2 linked regions of the Rhinolophus ferrumequinum genome follow. The protein of the gene in region 2 purifies or fractionates together with the protein of the main gene of each other region. This does not show direct contact. Links are inferred from orthologs where the notes say so. Each region holds a gene or a part of one and is shown on either strand. Other genes may lie near its edges.

Evidence for each region.
Region 1: the proteins of DDX6 (region 2) and ATXN2 purify together in Homo sapiens (affinity purification with mass spectrometry; 6 studies listed by BioGRID and IntAct, counting the BioPlex papers as one, with this or other methods). This does not show direct contact. The link is inferred for Rhinolophus ferrumequinum from reciprocal best matches to the Homo sapiens genes DDX6 and ATXN2.

What each region holds. Positions count from the first base shown.
Region 1 is NC_046308.1:6,922,505-6,926,247, forward strand, and holds the start of ATXN2 (ataxin-2), read right to left. Parts: upstream 2,238-3,743; 5' UTR 2,106-2,237; coding exon 1,897-2,105; intron 1-1,896. UniProt on the Homo sapiens protein: Involved in EGFR trafficking, acting as negative regulator of endocytic EGFR internalization at the plasma membrane.
Region 2 is NC_046294.1:88,089,407-88,093,149, forward strand, and holds the start of DDX6 (probable ATP-dependent RNA helicase DDX6), read right to left. Parts: upstream 2,367-3,743; 5' UTR 2,208-2,366; intron 2,199-2,207; exon of another isoform or gene 1,666-2,198; intron 1,555-1,665; exon of another isoform or gene 1,426-1,554; intron 1-1,425.

The DNA of each region.
Region 1 (3,743 bases), on a different chromosome or scaffold from region 2:
TCCTTACTAGAAAAATTGTATTTAAATTTTTTCCATTTTTCATTGTGGATGCCACAGAGAAAATGAAGCTATTATAGACTCCTTAGTGGACAGAACTGGGTAAATAGCCATTTCATTTGAATTAGTTTGGCTAAGTAGCTTTTTGTAGGTGTTTCTGAGAAGGGGAAAAACTGACGGGGCGAGGTGGGGGGAGGAGTCAAAAAACCCAATGTCCCCATTCCCCCCATTGAAGGCTGCAGAATTCCTTAAAAATCGGCTCAGATTCATTTTGATGGGTAACTTCTCCTGCCATAAATGAAAATTCTCTGGAAATGGATTGCTGAAAACCTGTTTTTAAAAAGAAAACTCAGTGTACGGGGAAAAGAAAATCCCTTTATCCCACCTTCTAAAGGCCAGGATGTCGATTTGAGGAGGACCCTGGTCACCAACCCTGTCAACCCCACCTAGGCCTACGGGAGGCATGGCAAAGCCGGCAGCACGGATGGGCTGGGGCACAGGGGAAATGGACTTGCGTGCCCTTGGTGAGCGCTGGCGGCACTCCCCAAGTTAAGGACACTGGCCACAATGGAATGGAGTCTATTGACATTTGCTTTGAACACTAAGCATTTTCTTGGTTCGTGAAATACGAACTGACAACCCCCCCCCGCCACACACACACACACACACGCGCGCGCACACACACACACACACACACACACCGCCCCACAGGCCTTCCCGCACAAACACACCCTCCAGTCAGACCCGGTTAGCTGAGACGACACCGAGCCTTCAGTGTCTACCACAAACCTGGGTTATGGGGAGACGACGCAAGTAAACACCCGCATTTCTGCCACCATGTCTCCTGCTGCAATCCCTCTCCCCTCGAAATTTCAAAAACTGGGGCGGGGGTTGATACAAAATGCGCAGCGTGCCAGCTCCCTGCCGCCACCAGCACTAGCACCACCACGCCAGGTCCCCAGGCCGGCCCGGGCTTCTGACGCACGCCTGGGGCCGGCCCTCGCCCACCACTATTCAAAGGCGCCTTCTCCGCGGCCTCGGAACAGCAATGCGGCTCGGCCACCACCCGCGCCGGGGAGGCCTTGCGGGGGAAGGAGGGAGGCCGGGAGGGGGCCGGGCACTCCCCACCCCTTCCTCAGGTGGGGGAGGGCGGAACGCTGCGGGAGGCTGCACGGAGCGGGACGATTCCACGGAGTTCTGGAGCCCCCGCCGCCGCCTTGGATTTAAATGGGGAGGGGTGCGGGGGGGGCCACTGCCCACCCACCCCAACCCGGTCCTTCGATCTTTCCCAGGGCAGGGAAGGGGGAGGTTGAGGGCACTGGACAGACCCTAACGATTCCAGATGTGCCCGGTGGCTGCCCCGTTAACGGGGAGGGAGGGGGCGCTGCCCTAACTTTCCCCCTCCCTCGTTATTCCCCAATGGGGGAGTTGGCAAGTTTCGGAAGACGGAACCAACCCTAAAGACCCTTCCTTCCACATTAGTATTTAAGCTGGGGGTGGGTGCGCTGCCCAAGCACACCCCACTGGGGGCGGAGGAGGCCTAAGGAAGGTGGAACCGGGGCTGACAATTGCTGCGACCTGTAAACCGCTCCCAAACACTTAAATGGAGAGGAGGCGGCTGCCCAGTCCTTCCATCTTGACCGTTTGGGGGAGGGGGTGCGGGTGTTGCAGGAGGCTGGACACGGCCTGACATTCCCAGAGGGATCCCGCGGCGCCCCCCACCGAACCCCCCAGGCTCCAGACGGAACGGGAGCCCCACCCCCACTGCGGGCCCCCAGCCCACCCCCCCAAGCCCAGCGGGTCACGGGGCGGGGACGGCTGTGAGGGCCGCGGGGGAGGGGACGCGAGGCCCGGGCTTGTTCGGGCCCGGAGCAGAGGGGCCTGGGGCGCGACACCCACCTGCCCAGGCCGGGCCGCCCGCCGCCTGCGCTCGCCGCCGCTGCGGAGGAGGAAGCCGCGGCCGAGGACGACGAGACTGAGGGCGAGGACGGCGACGGTGCGGCGGCGGGCGACGAGAGAAGGCCGCCGCCGGGTTTGCGGGCACTAGCGGCCGCAGGCGGCGGTGGCTGCTGCTGCTGCTGCTGCTGCTGCTGAGGCTTCAGCGACATGGTGAGGGGCCCATACACCGGCCCGCACGCCGGGCGGGGACAGCCGGGAGCCGGGCGCGCCGAGGAAACGCCGGAACGCGGCGGGGACGCGCGGGCGCCGAGCGGGGAGGCGCGGGTTGGCGCGGCCGGGGGGACGCCCGGGCCGGCGAGAGGGAGAAGGAGGACGACGAAGGGGCGGGGAGGCCCGCTGAAACCGAGGAGCCGCCGGGAGCCGGGCTGAAACGCGCCGCCGCCGTTGCCGTTGCTACCAAAACAGTCTGAGGCGGAGGGAGGCGAGCGCAGCCCGGAGGGAGGGGGGCCGGGGCCGGGCGGGGGAGGGGCGGCGGAGGGATACGGGCCCGGAGTCGCGTCGCTGCCGCCCCGCCCGCCCCGCCGCACCGGCCGCGGGAACGAGCGCCGCCCGGGCCACCGAGTCGCGGCGAAGCGGCGAGGCTCGATGGTAGCTGTGGGGCCCCGAGGAGCTGCGGCAGCCGAGCGCATCGGGGGCCGCGCACAGAGAGGCGCCGCGTGGCGGTGCCGGGTGGGCGCGGAGGTGCGGGACGGGGACTCTTTACCGGAAGTCGGAAGGGTCGGACGGAAGCAGAACGTGAGGCGGCCCCAGGGCCGGGAGGGACACGTGAGGAGCGGGCGCCGCGCTGGGCCGCGTCCGCGGGGGTCGGGTGAGGGCCCGGCGGCCAGCCCTGCCCGGATCCGCCCTCCTCGAGGCGGGTCTGCCCTTTGGAGAGGGCGTGTCTGTCTTCGCCTGCAGGGCTGGCCTACTGTGGAGGACGGGAGGGCAGCGTTTCTTTCCCGCCCCCCAGTATTCCTTCAACGCCCTCAGACTGCTGGGGGAACCCGCGATTGCACCCACCTGATGCAACCTAAAAGGTGGACTGCAAGGGCCTTCAGGGCCGAGACTATGTTTTGCTACGTTTAAAGCACCTTCAACACAAGCATCTCACAAGTTTTCTTTGTATCCCCAGCACCTGGCACACAGTAGGCTGTGTCAACTGGGTGTCTCAAAGACAGGCCGTCATCTCTTTTCCTGCCAAGACCAACTGTGTTGGAATCGCACAACCTCCTGGGGCCACCCACATCTGGTTACCTTGTCCCCACTTTTTCCACCCCAGCAACACAGTAACCAGAAAACTCTTTTGGGTATCTGACCTTCATTTGAACCCATTTTCCCTCACTTGAACTTCTTTTTCCTCATTCATGAGGCTCTAAAGGAAATAAATGTACGTGATTGGTAGAGCTATGGATAATGGGGTCTCCTTCGGTGGAAACAAAACAGACTTCACAAGAATGTGCGAACTTTAGACCTTGGCCCCTTTCGAAGTTTTACTTTAACTTAGCTTGCTAGCCAGCACAGTAACCCGTTTTTTAAATGTGTTGTAATTGAACTGGAAGCAACTAGATAACTTTAAGTGAAGAATCTAGTTTTTAAAAAAAGTGCAATTACTTTAGGAAATGATAGGAGGAAAACACCAAAATTCCCCCTCAATCTCCCAGAATTGTCAGATAAAAAGATAGAGAGATAGAAAAGCCTGGAGAATGATTAAACCACGAATTTCCAGTAGCCAAATTGAAATTAATCTCCTTTATAATTCAGCCAGAAATGCTCATTATATTCTGCAAACACCTGAAAAGGAGGAAATC
Region 2 (3,743 bases):
TTCTTACCAAAAATACACAAGCTTTATTAATTTGTGCCATATATAAAGTCTTCTCCAACAATATGTTTAAAATATTTCTTGAGTCTCTTACTTTTTAAAAAACTGGAAATAAATTTGCTCACAAGCAAATCCAGATCATCATACACACAGAGGTATATTTCGAAGTCTACCAGAATGGAATTAATCTCCTAAGCAGATAGTGGTTAACAGTCACCTAATTTCAGTTCAGGGCAGTAAATGGTATTCTGTATTGACAGGTTTATATTACGATCAACAGTATCGCGTAATTCACACCAGAAGACTTGTTTGCAAAGTACTAGAGGATGAAGGAGGCAACCTCTAAAGATTAAATGATATCATTACTGTCCATCAGGCATGTAACACTTCCTGTCTCCCTAGATCCAAATTGTGACTGATAATTGCTCCCCTCCTTAATTAAACTGAAACCTGCACTGCAGTTTTACATCTCAGAGAAAATATTCCTTCTATCCCTTCCCCATTTAGATTTGAAATTATATTTCTGCATTTTAAATAGTACGAACGAAACGTAGACTAGTTGGGAGGAGCCCCATACGGAGTTAATTACACCACTTCCCGGACTGTAGTTAGCAACTGACAGTTTCACACCCAAAACAGTATCGTCATCTCCGGCGAAAGCTTTGTTTGCAAAGGCAGCGCATTTTCTGTAGCTGGATCTGCAAGTTGGCCTGTTTTATTCTGAGGGGAAAAGGGGACTGTGGAAAAGGGAGTAAGCAATAAGGGAAGGAAACTAGCCAATGATTTGGACCCCCTAATTGTAGGACAATAATTTCTTGCTCTCCCTGTCGCCTCACCCCACCCACCCAAAAAAACCGCACACACATACACCAAGTCAGCTCTCTGTGACCATAAACACAAACGGGTTGGGGCTCTGCAATCCTATCTGCGCAACAAGAGCAGGGAACGAGCTCCGCGGGTAGGAAACAAAAGGTACTCCTCCTATGAGGCCCCAAAGAGAAACCCTTAACCCAGAAAGTCTTTCTTTCCTCCACGACTCGGAGGGGTTCCAGAATCACCCACTCGTTACCGACCTACAAGGCCTTACTTCAATCAAGCAGCTGCTGGTCCCCTTCTAAACGGAGCCCTCCACTACTGCACATCCCTGCCGCCCCCTATAGGGCCGCCTCGTACCCTATAACCTCCAACATCACCGTAAGTCCTTGCCGCCCCCATGGTCCCACATTCCCTCGTCTTCTACGGTATAAAGCTCCTCCGAGTACTTGGCCCGCTCCCTCTACAGACCCCGCCGCGCACAGCCCCATATTCAGACGCCTCCACCCCACAGAGCTGCCGCCTGCCTTCCTCCCCAGGGTCCAGCCAGGTCTTAGGCCTCCGCCTCAGTGTCCCCCACGCCGGCCGAGAGGCTTCCCGCAGCCCCGACCTCACCCCACTCCCCGCGGCTCGGGCCTGAGTCCTACCACCGAGGCCACACCCGCTCGGCAACCTCGGTCCTTTATTGTTGACTCGAAGCTCCCAAAATGGCGGCGGCTCCTTCCTCCTCGGAAACCTCCGCCCGCCCCCAACCGGCCCCTCTCTGCGGCCTCCTCCGCCCCCGCCCTCGCTCTGCTGTAAAGGCCGAGGCCCGAGCCGCCCGCGCCCGCCGCTCCACCCGCCGGCCGGCCTTACCGCCGTCGCTGCCCGCTTTCAGGGCTCCGCCGAAGTCACCGCCCGGGCTGAGCTAACTCGGCTCCTGAGCCCCCTCCCTCGCCCGCCGCCCCCCTCCCTCCCTGCCTCGCTGCCGGCCTCCGCATGGCGGCGGCCGCGACTCCTCCTCCACGCAAGATGGCGAGAGCTCAGCCACCGCCGCTGTGCCCGCCAGGGCGTCACGGCCTCTGCGGCTTCGCGGCAAGAGAATAGGGGCCGCGGAACCTCTCCCAAGAGAAAATAGAGAGCGGTGCTCTCACACCAACGGGCACCCAGCGGGCCCAGAACTGAGGGAAAGTTGAAGGGGAAGTACGGTTTCTTCTCAGAAGGGAAAGGAGGGCTGCTTTTTCCACAGCTGAGGAGAAACGACTAGGGAATGGTGACTGCGAAGTCCACCCAGCCTTCGCCCGCCCCCCAAAGTGGAAATCGAGAGTTGTGACCAGAGAGGATCTGCTTATTCCTGACCCAGGACGCGTTCGGAGAACGGCCTCTCCCGGCAGCGAATCGGGGAGGGGAGCGCTGACCTGACATCTCCCGCGGGCCAGGGAAGCTGCTGCAGGACCAAAGGGGCCGCGTCCGTCCAGGAACATGCAGAACTAGTGGCCGTGAGACGCCGGCGCGCTCGAGGGAGGGGGCCGGAAGGGGGCCCGGCGGGGACTGAAGGACACGACGAGGGGGAATTGCGCTGGGGCTGCGCCGGGAGGGGGTGGGGGGAGGGGGATGGGGTCCTAGGGCAACGACCTTCCTCCCGGCCCCAATAGGCTATCTTCAAAGAAAGAGGGGGCGGGGAAGGCCGGACCTCCCGCAAAGGAAAGGAAAGCCGCTGAGGAGTCGGTTATAATGGAAATAAGAGTTCTGTAGGGACATGGGGAACCGGAAGGCCGAGGGTGATTCTTTCTCCCGCCTGACCCTCACTGAAGGATATTTATGTATTTATTCTTATAAATACTTTTTATATCCTAATGTCTCCGTTTCCCTTAACAAAAATAACAGGAAAATTGTGTTCCAAGTAAAACAAAAATTCGAAGCTAGAAAGCTGTCAGGGAAAAGAAAAACCCGGGCCTCACCCGGCTGAGAGACTGAATATATAGGACAATGGCCAGACCGTGTGTGACTACAGGACCCCGACCCACAACCTCTGCTGCAAGCAGCTGGTGAAGACAAACAACAGCCCCCGCAGTAATCCGCCGAGAATGGGCAGGAATCAGTCATTGACTGCCAGCTTCCCCAATTTTTGCCCCTGCTTCCAACTCGGGACCAATCAGAGAAAGCCAAATATGTTCCCCAAACCAATCACACGAGACGCTTGGCTTCTAGGTACCGTAGCAGGCCTCTAGCTTCCCCAGGCCAACACACTCCAATCAGAGCATACGTGCAGCTTTCCCCTTTTCTCGCTGCCTGCCCTGAGTGTCCACGAAACTCAGTGTAGGTGGCTGGGTTCTTTGCTATAGCAAACTGTTCTTACCTGTTGGTCTTTGTTTATTTCCACACTGCCAATGGAAAGGTGGTAGAGAAATGTGAGGTTATTTTTGAGTTTAAAAAGACTCCCCCTACAATTTTTTAAATTCTAAAGTTGTAGCATGTCATCTCCCAACCAGATTTTAAAATACCCACTCGTGTAAGGGAATAACCGTACACCTTGTGTCCATCCTAGAGAGAGGTGGCTGGCTAGTGGTTGGCTCCTTTAAAATGTTAAAGTGTGAAGTCTTGTTTTCCTGTCTTTCCAAGTTGCAGGAATGTGAAGGGGAGGAGGGCAAGAAGTGAGTGGGAGGGAGAGGAGCCTAAGAATTTAAAATCAGGCTACTCACTGCCTGGTGGGATCTCTCCCTAGAGCACTAAGAAATGAGACCCGGCAAAGGAAAAGGGTTTGCATGCATAAATAAACTGTTAACTTCCAAAGGGGCCTGGTTGAAGTCCTGACCAAAAAAAACTGAGGGGGCAACTAAAAGTAAAATATGAAATAGCTGCCCATTCTCACCTAGGAATCCTGCCAGGGCTAAAACTTTTAAAGATTCTGTGTAATGTTCTTATAAGATCAGATATTCTTATAACTTATTTAT